2 linked regions of the Caenorhabditis elegans genome follow. The main gene of each other region encodes a partner of the protein of the gene in region 2 in a complex. Each region holds a gene or a part of one and is shown on either strand. Other genes may lie near its edges. A codon is read from its position in the direction of its gene.

What was found.
Region 1: the proteins of smg-5 (region 2) and smg-7 are in contact, whole or in part, in a crystal structure (PDB 3ZHE), measured with the Caenorhabditis elegans proteins. Residues at the interface, in NP_491929.1 of Caenorhabditis elegans: Val84 (codon at 3,193), Thr87 (codon at 3,184), Met88 (codon at 3,181), Gly91 (codon at 3,172), Glu92 (codon at 3,169), Gln94 (codon at 3,163), Glu95 (codon at 3,160), Leu97 (codon at 3,154), Ser98 (codon at 3,151), Asn109 (codon at 3,118), His116 (codon at 3,097), Glu123 (codon at 3,076), Ile124 (codon at 3,073), Gln125 (codon at 3,070), Cys127 (codon at 3,064), Leu128 (codon at 3,061), Val130 (codon at 3,055), Gly131 (codon at 3,052), Tyr132 (codon at 3,049), Ser134 (codon at 3,043), Arg135 (codon at 3,040), Asp138 (codon at 3,031), Asp156 (codon at 2,977), Ser350 (codon at 2,243), Thr352 (codon at 2,237), Ser353 (codon at 2,234); in NP_501033.1 of Caenorhabditis elegans: Pro23 (codon at 3,120), Arg27 (codon at 3,108), Met30 (codon at 3,054), Lys31 (codon at 3,051), Val34 (codon at 3,042), Asn73 (codon at 2,925), Asn76 (codon at 2,916), Leu77 (codon at 2,913), Ile79 (codon at 2,907), Gly80 (codon at 2,904), Phe81 (codon at 2,901), Thr83 (codon at 2,895), Asp84 (codon at 2,892), Leu87 (codon at 2,883), Leu88 (codon at 2,880), Tyr91 (codon at 2,871), His92 (codon at 2,868), Lys104 (codon at 2,832), Gln105 (codon at 2,829), Trp108 (codon at 2,820), Thr109 (codon at 2,817), Asp111 (codon at 2,811), Val112 (codon at 2,808), Leu114 (codon at 2,802), Asn115 (codon at 2,799), Lys143 (codon at 2,715), Tyr152 (codon at 2,486).

Annotation. Positions count from the first base shown.
Region 1 is NC_003282.8:6,739,245-6,746,065, forward strand, and holds smg-7 (DNA/RNA-binding domain-containing protein), read right to left. Parts: upstream 3,200-6,821; 5' UTR 3,187-3,199; coding exon 3,106-3,186; intron 3,061-3,105; coding exon 2,713-3,060; intron 2,511-2,712; coding exon 2,410-2,510; intron 2,361-2,409; coding exon 2,248-2,360; intron 2,195-2,247; coding exon 2,133-2,194; intron 2,086-2,132; coding exon 1,980-2,085; intron 1,928-1,979; coding exon 1,362-1,927; 3' UTR 1,287-1,361; downstream 1-1,286. Other genes in the region: Y73B6A.3 (TransThyretin-Related family domain), read right to left, coding at 946-1,038; lin-45 (Raf homolog serine/threonine-protein kinase), read right to left, coding at 3,994-4,221, 4,743-5,154, 5,204-5,300, 5,347-5,605, 5,823-5,945, 5,991-6,205, 6,379-6,502, 6,553-6,821.
Region 2 is NC_003279.8:6,732,542-6,739,295, forward strand, and holds smg-5 (PIN domain-containing protein), read right to left. Parts: upstream 3,621-6,754; 5' UTR 3,612-3,620; coding exon 3,499-3,611; intron 3,391-3,498; coding exon 3,282-3,390; intron 3,221-3,281; coding exon 2,671-3,220; intron 2,605-2,670; coding exon 2,414-2,604; intron 2,328-2,413; coding exon 1,641-2,327; 3' UTR 1,488-1,640; downstream 1-1,487. Other genes in the region: dhod-1 (Dihydroorotate dehydrogenase (quinone), mitochondrial), read left to right, coding at 4,992-5,596, 5,640-6,035.

The DNA.
Region 1 (6,821 bases), on a different chromosome or scaffold from region 2:
GCCTTTACAAACACTTGTCTGCATGGCATGGAATTTGAGTTAATTGTAGAGAGAAATAAAACAATCAATACACAAGATACAGTAATAATTCGAATCATTTCTGAATGACTAAATGAACTTTCTTTCCGTATCTTGTACTTTTATATAAGTCTCGGAAGTAAACAAGGGCAATCCTTCAACAAACTATTTTTTATTTGTTTGGAATTAGTCTGATCTTTCCATCTTTTAAAATCGTGCTTTTTGAGAGGAATCTTGTTATTTTGATCATAGCTTCTCAGTGCTTTTCGGGTTTCGAATCAGAATTTAAATGGTGAAAATGGAATTAGATTGCCACAGAATATTTCGATTTGCAGCAGCGACAGTGAATATGAAGAACTCTACAATGTATTAGTTTTTTAAGTCAAAGTTTTGGAAAAGTGCTAATTTAAAGACAAATTAGACGTTTTTTAAAGTAATTTCGAGCAATGATGTGAACTGAATCTCAATATGTATTGTTCAAATAATGATACGTAATTACAAATACCATAAAATATATAAACCTGGAGGAAAACCATGGTTTTTTGTCTACAAAAATATTCTTATTGTCAACAAAAAAAATATATGCTTTGATATTTGGCCATTGTTAACCTATGATCCTTAGGACCCTATCAGTAATTTTAAGCACTTTCCCCACTGCTGATATGATTGTTTTGCAAAGCTTTGACACACAAGTTTAAAGGCACACGCAGTTTTTGAATAGGTCTCGCCACGCTCAATCTCATAACGGTCGTAACATGTGCCAAATTGTAGAGTTGTGGTTATTTGGTGCAGAAAATTAAGTTTATAAAGGTTACGAATTCCAAAAAAAAAAGAAATTTCCTTCACAGGGAAAACTGCGATTGATTAAAAATGTAGCACATAATTTCAAGTTTCACCTAAATGACGGTGTCCTAATTTCAAACAAACCTTCGCCATAATCATTCTCCATGGCATTGAGTCGGAGTCGACTTGAACAATCAATGCAATAAGAGCAATGGCTACAAGTAAAACTCGAACCATTATGATCGCAACAATTGAATGAATAAACTTTCGCCCCGTGCAACATTTATAGGTTGGCGTGGGAAGGCGGAAATGAACAAGGAAGAGATTATACAAAAAAGTGTGAAAATTGCAATTTACTAGACTATAATCCTCATGAATAAACTATTCGTTCATTGAAATTAATCCGAACTTTTCAACGTTGTAGATCGTTTCTTTTTGCAATAGACCAAAATTATATTAATTTTTTATGTAGCATGAAAAGAAAAAAAACCAAAAATTATGACAATATGTTCTGGAATCAATGGAATTATATCACAATTACACTCGAAAATATGATATCATTAAAATTCATCTTCATCCGTTTCGACTGATTCGTCTAGATTCGGATTTCTTCCACGCCGACGGCCACGTTGCAAAACTTCCTCATCCGAAGATTCAGATTCAGATTCAGGTTCCGAATCCTCGTTTTGAATTCTTGAAGTGTCTGTAGAAAGGCTTTTCTGATCTTCTTCTGGTATTGTTGATTGATCGGAATCTTTAGATTCATCTTCATCCTCTATTTCAACTAATTTCTGAGCCAATTGAGTTCTAGTGAGTGGATATTGAATTCTTTGAAGACAATGAAAATATCCAAAAGCATCAGAATCCTTGATTTTCTCATCACAATTTGCGCATAGAAGCCATTCGCAAATTGATGTTACTTCATCTTCAGTTTGGTCTTCAATACCGCGAAGGAGTTTAGGTGCACAGAGTAAAAGTGCCAGAATATGAAGAAGATGTGGAACATCTGCCAGTTTTTTTGATTCCTCCTTATAATCATCCAAAGTTTTCAGGAGACTTCGGTAGGCCGTACACCAAATAGTTTTGACATACTCTACGGCTCGTTGTTCAAGTTCAGTTCCGTCCTCTGAAAAATTTTAATGTTAATGAAAACAAAATAAAATTTAAAAATAACCAACCGAGATGTTTATATACAGACATTAGAGGAACAATCATTTCTTTTGAAGTTGCAGCTTCTTCTCCAATTTTTTGTAGGTGCACAGAAGAATCTTCGATTTCTAGAAGCTGAAATCTGTAACCCTTGTATACTCATCTTTCTGAATTAAACTCACGAAATGAATTCTTCCTAGGCAGGATAAATATAGATCTTTAATAGGCATTGGTCTTGAAATATCTGAAAACAGACATATTTTGATATCTAGGTTTTCAATGAAAATCCTACAGTACCTCGATTTGCAAAATTTTTGAAAATATTCGTTAAGCCACCAGAAGCAGTTGGGAATTCCATAGTGGCATGAAGAGCTCGTGTATGAAAATAGACACTTTCCAGGTTTTTTGCACTGAAAATTGTAAACTTTTTCCTGAAATCTATGGAATTTTGAATATTACCCAAGTGAAGATATCAATCCTAGCTGATTCCAGACAGCTCCATCAGCTGGATTAATGCGGCATGATTGCTCGTAATATTCCTGAGCTTTTGGGTAGTTCTCCTGAAAATAAATGTTATATGATTTTTCTAAAATACTACCCAAACGACACCCTTCGCTCTTTAGAATTTTTTGGTATCGAAAAATTAAAAATTTCGGGTTTTTTTTCGATTTTTCTTTTGGTCCATGTTGGATCAACTTCGAAAAACGAAAAACAAATTTTGACATCATTGTTTCCAAAATTATGAAAAAATTTCAAAACTACCTTATATCTCATTAAATCTCCCATTCTTAACAGAACATAAGCCATGAACACTCGACTATTCTTTTTCGACTTGATAGGTTTTCTGTTTAGAAATACATCTGGTGTCCATGTTAATTGTTTTGAGATATCGTTTCCATAATTTGGAATTTCATAATGATAATGAACAAGAAGTGATAAATCAGTCAAAAATCCAATTGCAAGATTTTGAACATTATGATTAACAAGTCGATCATTTTCCATTGCTTTTGTTATTTCATCCATCATTGATTTCAGTTTATTCCAGAATTTTACATCGAATCTTTTGGATACAGCAGTTTCGAAGTCAGCGACAAACATTTTCATTAAATGCTGGAATTATTCTCATTTCGATAAATCAACACCTCTCAATCTTACTCTCAAATACTGTGGTGCAGCTTCGGTGCCACGTGGAATTTTTCTCAACTCTACAGTAAGCTGTTCCCATTCGTCCGACATCCTGTGGAATCCTCTGGAACAAAATTGTTTTGTTTTTTTTTCAAATTTTAAAATATTAATCTGAAATCCTACACTTTTTCTAGCCACTCAAAAGAAGAAACAGGAAGTCAGGCGAAAAATTATTTTATCTTCAACTTTTTTTGTTTGCAAAAATTAAATGATTCAAATAACCCGGTTCAGAAAAGGAATGGGGATGCTGCATTTTGAAATTAAAATAAATGGAAGTTTCAAAATGTGTTCGAAATGACAAAAACAAAACGGATAGGCATTGGATTCTATATAATTCTATACATACAGAGAATCTTTGGGATGTTTGGAAACGGAAATGGGGTGGGAACATTGAAAACTTATCAAAAGAAACGTTTTCAATAAAAAGCATTATAGTTGGAAAAGAAAAAGTTCTACCGGTTTAGCCGAAACAAAAATATGAAAATTATCACAATTTCACATGGGGGAACGATTGCAGGCGGACTTAGACTGGAAAGAAAGTATTTTGGTGGGATTTTTAAGTTTTGGAGGAAACGGTGAATACGGGGTTAAAATAATAATAATAATATCGGGATGGGTGATGAGGGGGTGAATAATAGAACAGGATTCAATGTGACGAGAAATGATTAGTAAAATAACGATGGGCGAGATTATTCTTCGACTGGAAGTTTTTTGGTTAGTGTACACATGGGGTAGGGAAAATCACTGGGAAGAATAGAAAAAAGAGAGAAAATAAAGGTACATATTCGGGGAGAGACGAGAAAATCAACTAAAAAGTTGCAGTGTCCCTTGATTTTCAAAAAAAAAAACAAAATAAAACTAAATGAGACCATAGACATTGTAGTATGCCTTCTTGTTAGCAGCGGCCGCTGCTGCTGCTGATTGTGGGGTTTTTGCAGTTGCAGGTGGAATATATGACCAGGAAAGCATTTGGCTTCTCATTACAGCATCCATCACCGAATATTGCGAGTCTAAGTGAAGAACATTCGGAGCTGATTGAGAACGAGTCAATTTTGGAAGAATTATGTCGCGAAGTCGTTCGAGAACCTGAAAAATTGGAATTCATTCATTAAAATTTATTTAAAAATCAAACTACAATATTTTTTTGGATTTTTCAGTGTAGTGGAGTTATTCATGAGCGAAAAAAATGTTTTTAAAAAATACATCGATTTCTTAAAAGCATGTTTTTATCCATTTTTCGACAGCGTCAAAGAGTGAAAAATCAAAGGAAGCCACCATATTTAGACAAAACTGCCAATTTTAAATGTGAAAAAAAAGAGCGAAAATGTGTGAAGTACTGGAAGAAAATAAATTCCGAATTGTCCTCGCGGTGTACACGGGGAGAACGCCCAGCTCGTAAATTTACACAACTTTTGAAGAGACATAGTCATATGAAAACGTATGGTCTCGCCGCATGGCGGCTTACTGTAGTTTTTCGCTCGTCGACGCTGTCGAAACATGTACAAAGTACAAAAAATCGATTTTTTAAAAGTTTTTTGACACTCATGAATAACCCCATAATAAATCATAGTTCTACCAAATTTCTAAAGTCGGTATTTCCCACTCACCTCTCCAAATACTGGCCGCTCATTTCTATCGAACATAATGCAATTGTCATATAATTTGAGCATGCTCTTCGGCGTATCATGTCGAATTTTCGATCTATCCGGCCTCAAATACCCTCTTCCAACCATAAACAATATCTGATCTCGATTATTAATGTTGGAGTATGGTAGATGCGAAGATAGAATTTCGTACATGCATATTCCAAAAGAATACACATCAGACTGTGGGGTATATGGATTATCATCTTGCATTCTGATGACTTCAGGTGCCATCCAGAGAATACTTCCTGTTGGTTGTTGTTGCTGTTGACCTCCGTTCACTGTCCATTTCGTTTTGACAGTTGCCAAGCCGAAATCTCCAATTTTTACCGTTGACATGTCATCCATAAGGAATATATTGTTCGTTTTCAAGTCACTGAAATGTTTTAAACATTTAAACATAAATTATAGATATGGTCAGTTACCGATGAATAATATTTTTTGAATGTAAATAATTCATTCCAAGAGACACTTGCTTCAGTATATCAATGATAGCACCCATTTCAAATTCGACGCGTGGCTCTGAAAATTATTAAATTATAAGAATTAAAATCTCAGTTCAGATCACCTTGAACATGAATATGTCTATACAAACTCGATCCTTCACACCATTGAGTAATAATTGCAATTTCTGGTTCTCGAACCCATCCCATAAACAGCAAAACATTCAAATGACGTGTTTTCTTTAAAACTGCAACTTCATTTTTAAAGGCTGCCATTTGAGAAGGCGTCGGATCAACAACATTCAGCTTTTTTATAGCAACAGTTCCGAAGAATTCTCCACGATAGACGGTACCGAAGGATCCCGAACCAACTTTGTATTGAATCTAAAAGAATGCTTGTTTTAATAGTTTTGACAGAAGTTTTGAGCGTTTTTTTATTGCTTCAACTGTAAAAAAAAAAGCTATTTTCAGATAAATAAAATGTTTTTTTTCTATATTCGATCACTGAATTTAAATGAAAAAAATTAGGATAACATGCTCCTTTTGTAGAACTGCCGGTTTGCAAAAGCCGTGCACCCTTGCTGATGTAGAATAAACTTACAATAAATTCATTCGGCAATATTTCCCAATCCTCATGATGTGGTTTCTGTGGCGGCCTGGGTCGTTGTGCATCAAGTCGTTCGCCTGGCGATCGACTACGATTTCGGAAGAAACCAGGTGAAATCTAAACATTTTTAATTGAAGAAAAATAGATTTTTTTGAATTCTACCTTCTGAGGAGGTGCTGATTGTGGTGGTGTTAATGGGAGAGTATGCAAATGAGCGGCTACTAATGATGACGTCGTTGATCCTGATACATTCGGGGATTGTCCAAGAGTAGGTTGTCCGATTAAGCCACCTGGAGGTGATGAACATGTAGATGAAGGAGAATTCGAGCCAAGAGGAGTACAGTCAACAAGTGGGTGAAGACGATTCATTCGAGCTCCTGAATAATTGAGAATAAGTGAAATTAAAATAATTAGAGTCGTTTGGGAAATTCTTGAAGGTGGAATAGAGTAAAAATTGTTTTTATAACTTTAGAAAAACGTCTTAAATTTGGAATTTTGTTTTTCTTCCCTGACCTTTTGACGAATCGTTATGTTTTCTGTTTTCGATTACCTGACAAAATATGTCCACTCTGGAAATGAGGTCGATGACGTGCTTGTGTTGAAAGTAACGATCCAGTTTTATCTCGTGATTCTTCTTCTAATCGCTGAGCTTCCAATGCATCAAGAATTCTTTGCTGAAAATAATACATTTTAGACTTTTTCTTTTAAAATTGGTGACTATTACATTATGTTGAACTGTTGCCTCATCATTAATCGCATTGATATTCGGAGCAGAAGAGCTCCGATCCCGTGGATAAGGTCCGGATGGAGATAATTGAGATGTTTCATTCTGTGGAGAAACAGCCATTGGATGTCTTTTGACACCACCCGTTCGTTTAATACTCGTCAAATCTGGATGAGAACTGTCTGGTGTGGCAGCTGGACTTTGTCCACTCGTTGGAGCTAGATTAGCAAGAACTATTTCGGCAACTGATCTATCTGGGCCTTCGACTT
Region 2 (6,754 bases):
AAATAGGACACAAGGGGGAGTGTACTGAAACTGCTGCCACGTTGTATTGGGTGATGGACAAGTTGGTCAATTTTTGGACGGTTTTGAACTGATAACATGGAATACACTAAGATGGAGTGTAGTATGTACATGGTGAATCACGATTAATAGTACTTTTTAAACTTTTGACATATAGTGTCGTTCAAAAGTAGATACAATGCGATCTCGTTTTTTTTTTTACAATTTTTGACATTTTTTTAATTGAGCATAACACCAAAACGCTACTTTTAACGTGGAAGAGATGGCGGGCAACAAGGTTAAACGATGGCCAATGTAGGTTTTCGATTAAAAAAATATTTTCCAGAACTATATGTCAAGATGTACCATAACGGATTGATCTACTATAAATGCGGGAATTTTTCGCAAGAAGCTTTTAAATATTTGAGTGTTTATACAGTATTTGTTATACAAAAAACAAAAAAAAATCAAAATTGTGACTTTTCTCTGACTTTACTGTGTCCGTTTATGTGTGAGTCAATCGAAAATGTTTGTTCAAGTTTTGAAACCGACTTATTTGACAACTATGACGTTGCGAAAACCAACATTAATTTAAAAAAATATTGGGGGACCACTGCTTTTCAGGGCACATTTTCAGTTTTCCCATACCTAGTTTTAGAAATATGATAACATTCACTGAAAATTTGGAAAGATGAGTGGAGTAAGGTAGAATTCACCAGAAAAACAGTTTGTATGTAGATATTTTGTATCGATTTCGTAGTTGATATAATCTTAGTGAGATTTGGAAAAAGAAGGAAATATAATTTCTACTTCAATTGAAAATTGGGTGTCTAAGTGGCATGACGAGACAATACAGCAGTAAATGGTAAACTGTAAAAGCCGCAATTAGTAAACAAAACCAGATTTTTTTCTCAAGTTTTCAAATCGAAACATCTCAACTTTACACAAATGTATTTCAATCAACAAAAGTATACCTCTTTTCATTTGAATGACCTCGATATGAGAGTGATACAATCTCCTCTCACCCTGTTTCTAAAAGAAGAGCGCTATTTATCTGACTGAGAATCGGCCCTAGACACTGTCTGACGGGACACAGAGGAACATTCAAATTAAGGTGATTTTAGAGTTTTTAGTGAGGGTGAATGTTCTGGAACTAATTCGGTATCTGGAAGTTTTCGCACGTTTAGCAAAATAGTAGACTTACAGTACTCTAGAATACTCACAGTCAGGGAATGTGTAGCTTCGATTTGCGGAGCATAAAAATTGAAAATGTTACTTACTTCATGAAAATCAATTTATAGTAGGCTGATAGGAATCGAAAAGGTATGATTGTGAAATGAAAATGCAATTTTCTAAATGGTTTACGGGGGTGGCAAAAGAATTCATAATTGTTTAGATACGTGGGAGTGCTCTTGGAATTTTCAATTTGAACGAAATGGAACATAGTACTACTATTAATTTAATACTATTGTGAAATGATTTGAAAAGAGTTAATTAGAAAATTTTATTACCAAAAAATTGTCAAATAATTGAATCCAGTAAAATAAATCAAAAATAAATCCGAAGAATATGATCTCAATGATTTTAAGCGGTTCCAATTCCAGCCATCGTGAGATTTTTCAGTGTAGAGCCCTTTCTTTTCATCACTCCAAATACTTCATGTAGAACTGATCGATATCGTAAAAAGTAACTCCTTCCATTTCTTTCTGTTCACTCGGGTTTTTGCACAGAAAAGCGACAATATGCTTGTGATCTTCTGCAGATCTTCGTGCACTTTGAACCAATTGCTCCGCGCAGCTTCTCTCGTTATCACATTTCTTTAGCACAATTTTTCCCTCTGCTTGAAGCTCCATTAATGCCCGAATTACTGGACGAACTGCTCGATTCTTCGTTTTCTGATAATCAAGTTCATCAAGCACTGTTGATGGCAAAATGCAGATGAAATCATCGATATCCCAAATTTTTAGAGCAATTCTTATTTTGTCAACTATGACGTCATAATCCATCAATACATAAACAGGTCTCCAATCCTCCCGGTTAACTTCATCATTTTGTGTCTTTATTTGAATATCCAAACGTTTTTGTTCCGATTGATTAATTCGTCGTAGCAATGGACCCGATTCTTCTCTATCGTGGATTATCTCCATTGGTGGGAATTCGACGGAAACCAGATAATTGATTAATTGACTCAAAAATTCAACATTGGGTTCGGATATTGGACCATTCAGCAGAAAGCTGGTCATAGAAATAGATGGATTGATTGTGAGTGACATGGATGTGAATACGGAATTGATATGATTCATAACCAAGTCGTTGAGCTCGTTCCATTTCTGAAAATAAGTTATATTTATAATTAATTCCCCTTGATTTTAAAATTGAAACATCTATTCTACATTTTCTTATCTCTAAATCTTACCGTTTTGGCGAAAACCGATAGCTTCTGGAAATGTGGCTCATTTTTCTGCTCATCCAAGTGTCCGAGTATTTCGGCTGAATCGGAAATCCATGAGATAGCTTCAGCTAGAAGGCATTTGGATGAAATCGTACGTGAATAAATTGTAATATACAGCGTTGAAATTGTGTCGAAGCAATTGTAGAATTGTTGAACTGAAAAAATTATGTTATCCTACAGCAGAATAAGAATTTTCTATAGATATTGGAATCGGTACTTACATCCAAATTTCTTCATTGCCAATTTAGATGCTAAACGACACGTTGACATGATCAGAGACCAATCGAATTCGAGTTTCTGTTCGATTTCTGCTTTAAACTCGTTTACTATTTTGATTCCAGTCATCTGATAATCCATTCGTTTTGATTTCTCGTTCAATGCCCAAATGACAAAATCTACCATCAATTTATCAGTGGATTCTTTTTGTGGAAATTTCAAATATTCCAAGAGTTCAGTGCCTTTTTTATATGGAGCATCGGCGAGCTGTCCTAAAATCATCAGTCTCAGCTTCTGTGCAACATTCAGGTCAGCTCGGAGACCAGCGAGAACGTGGAAAGCTCTTCCTTGATTCGGATCTAGATCGATTGCTCTTGAATAATATCCAACTGCCAAGCATTTCTGAATTTCTTCGTCTGGCATATAACGATGAAAATCTCCAATGTACATGTTCCACAATGCTGGGTATTTGTCATCGGGAAGCGAAAGCATTTCTTGAAGCTCTCCACAGAACATTGTCAGCAACACGGCTATTGCCATGTTTTTCTCCTTATCCTGTAATAAGAACCTTTGGAAATCAAATAAAAATAATACAATGACTAAAAGTTAATCTTACTCGAATAAAAAACTGGAAAGGGTGATAATATCCAACAATCCACAATTTATTGATTGAACTTGTACAGTCCCCGTCGCGTTTCATAATCTCAATGAGCTGTTTTCGGCCTCTGAAAATTGTAATTCTTTAAATTTTAAACTTAAAGATCGTTTATTAATTTCATAGTTTCTGACTCAAGCTGTTGTATTTTAAGTTTTTGTTACAGAATAAAACATACTTTCTGCGCAACATCGCCATCACTGGAGAATGCACATTTTCAGTTTGGCCGTATTTTTCCAGTTGATTACAATATCGTTTGAACTTTTCAGTGACTTCATCTGACTTTTGCATATTTATATTCTGAAAAAAATAAATTAAAGACAGATGGATAACCGGATAATTATAATAATAGTTATTGAATATAAAAGGAAGAGGAAAACAAAATAACGACTGCGAAAAAAAAATCAAGAAGAAACTGCGCACTATGTTGCAAATTGGCCACGCCCACAATTCAGTTCATTTTTCTCTTTATTTTCTTCAGTTTTTATTGAAATATAATGTTTTTTCTCCAATTTTCTAAATATTTTCTCTTAAAATTCAATTAAAAAATGTGTTTCGAAAGATTTTAGAATTAAATTTCAGCGTTTTAGTTCAAAATTGGACATAAATCTTGTGTTTTCAAGTGTTTTCATTTGCTAAAAATCTGTTTCCATAGCTGTATAATATTTGTTGTAAGTATATACGCAAAAACTGTATAATTATTAATTTTTCCAATAAAAAAGAAAAACCTCTTGAAATTAAAATTGTTCTCATGTCTAAAAATCACTTGTTTCTTTATCTTCAAACTAAATAGTATTTCTTATTTTAAATTCTTAAAGTTTCAGATTGTATGTCATTAGGAGCGGAAAACCATCAAACTATCAAGAAGAAACTTAAATCATACGACTACAGTATTCGAGTAAGTTTTAAAAAAAAGTTTTCGTGTAAAAGTTGCACAAAATGAAAATTGAGGTGACATAAACTGAATAAAAAAGAAAATATTCATTTCAAAAACGTTGTATTTGTTCAAAAACAAATTCGGCAGTTTAAGCAAAATGTGATTTCTGATCTATCGCGTCGATTTTCATTCATTTCTTCTCTCGACACTTCATCATCGCATCTTATCTTTTTTGTCACTTTTATCATCATCAACCACCGCCAAGACACCATGCTGCAAACATTTCAGATGTTCTCATGCCATTTTTTTGCCCTAAACTTTCATAAAAATGTAGATTCTGCCAATCTTTCATTTCCCAACTTAACTTTTTCAAAGTAATTTAAAATAAAACGACACTACTCTTTAACATTTCATTTTGATTTAAATAGTTTATTATACTTTGTACTAGATTCCCCTGTTATCTAAGATAACCTTCAACCATTAGTTATCGAGCTTATCAATTCAAATTTCCAAATAATTTAGGCGTCTGCTAGCTGCGACTCTTCTCCCAGTCTCTTTCAACCATTCTTTCAACTTGTACTCCATTACGAAGACGGCGAGACACAAGTTTTGGATTTCACTTCAGAGCAGGCAAGTTTTTTTTTTAACTTTAAGATACTTTACCTGTATTTCTACTTATAAAAGTGAAAACTTCCAAAAGAAAACTCAGCCACATTGATCATTTTAATTTTTTTTTTTCAGCTGGAGAAATTTGTTGCTGATTTGAATAAATCATCCTGAATTTCTACTGAAGAATGAGTCAAAATGCCGAACAAAAATACATCTACTCCAAACTTCCACCTGGTGCAATAAGCAAGTCGACAGTAATTGTACTCGCGACAGGAATTGCCAGTTACACAGCACTTGAACTTCTATATGGTTCGGAAACGTTCTACAAAAAGGCAGTAATGCCAATGGTACACAAATTTGTCGATGGAGAAGATTCACATCGATGGGCGGTTCGAGCTGCTTCGTGGGGACTTTTGCCACGTTTCGGATGGAATCGAAAAGAATATCCTGAACTGAAATGTGAGCTTTTTGGACGAGAATTCAAGAATCCTATCGGGTTAGCTGCTGGATTTGATAAAGATGGACAAGCAATTACACAATTGGCCAAGAATTCTGGATTTGGACTCATTGAAATTGGATCTGTAACACCAATACCACAACCAGGAAATAATAGACCACGCGTGTTTAGGTTATTGGAAGATGAAGGAGTTATCAATCGATATGGATTTAATAGTGATGGAGTTGGAAGAGTTCATCAAAGAGTACGAAGTGCCAGAGATTCATGGGTTCCAGAGAGTTATGCATATTTTGGAGTCAATTTGGGAAAGAATAAACTTACGGAAGACGCAAAGTCAGTTAAAAAGGCAAAAACGTTTAAATTTCAGTTCTTGTAGATTGGATTATGAAATTGGTGTCAACTACTTTGCTCCACATTGTGATTATCTGGTTCTCAATGTATCATCACCTAACACTCCTGGGCTCAGAAGTATGCAAAAGAAAAGTGATTTGGAGAAGCTGTTGGCCTATGTACACCAAGCGCTTGAAATGCACAAGCTGGAAAAGCAGCCTCAAGTTTTTCTGAAAATTGCTCCGGATCTAATTGAATCAGAATTAAAAGACATTGCACAAGTTGTGACGAATAAAAAGTTTGCGATCGATGGAATTATTGTATCGAATACCACAATTGCACGACCCGACTATCTCAGATCAGAGAATAAAACGGAAACAGGAGGATTGAGCGGAGCGCCGGTTAGAGAAATTAGTACGGAATGTGTCAGAAAAATATACAAGTGAGTTTTATAACTACTCACGGCGTGTAAATTGGGACATGTGGCCTAGCGAAAATTGAAAAGTGAGAATCCTAGGCCATGGCCGCTGCAAAGCGCGCGAAATTTGAATTTAAATTTTTAATATCATTGAAATTCGATGAATGAGACATTATAATGGATAAAACTACAAAAATATATACAAAATTGTTTTTAAAATGAATAAATCACATATAACAACGATTATTTTCCTAAATAAAAGTGGAAATTCGATTTATTAGGCAATTATTAGGAAAATACGTCAAAAGTGGCACATTTTTGAACTTTTTTCAAAAACTAGATCCACAAATTTTCTGAAATTTCACCAGATTACTCAGTAGACTACTTTAATCAAATTGTGTGCAAAAAATTCATACCCACCGTCACAAGTTCCTATTGAATTTTTCTATTTTAGCTCCGAAAACCACTAAAATCGACAAAAATGGCCCATTTTTGAACTTTTTTCAAAAACTAGGCCCATAAAGTTTTTGAAACTTCACCAGTTAACTCGGTAGAGTATTTCAAACAAATTATGTGCATAAAAACCATACCCACCGTCACAAGTTCACATTGAATTTTTCAATTTTAGCTTGGAAATTCACAAAAAATCAGTGAAATTGGCACCAATTTGAAATTTTTTCAAAAACTAGATTCACAAAGGTTTTGAAACTTCACCAATTGACTAAATGAAGGTTTTTGAACAA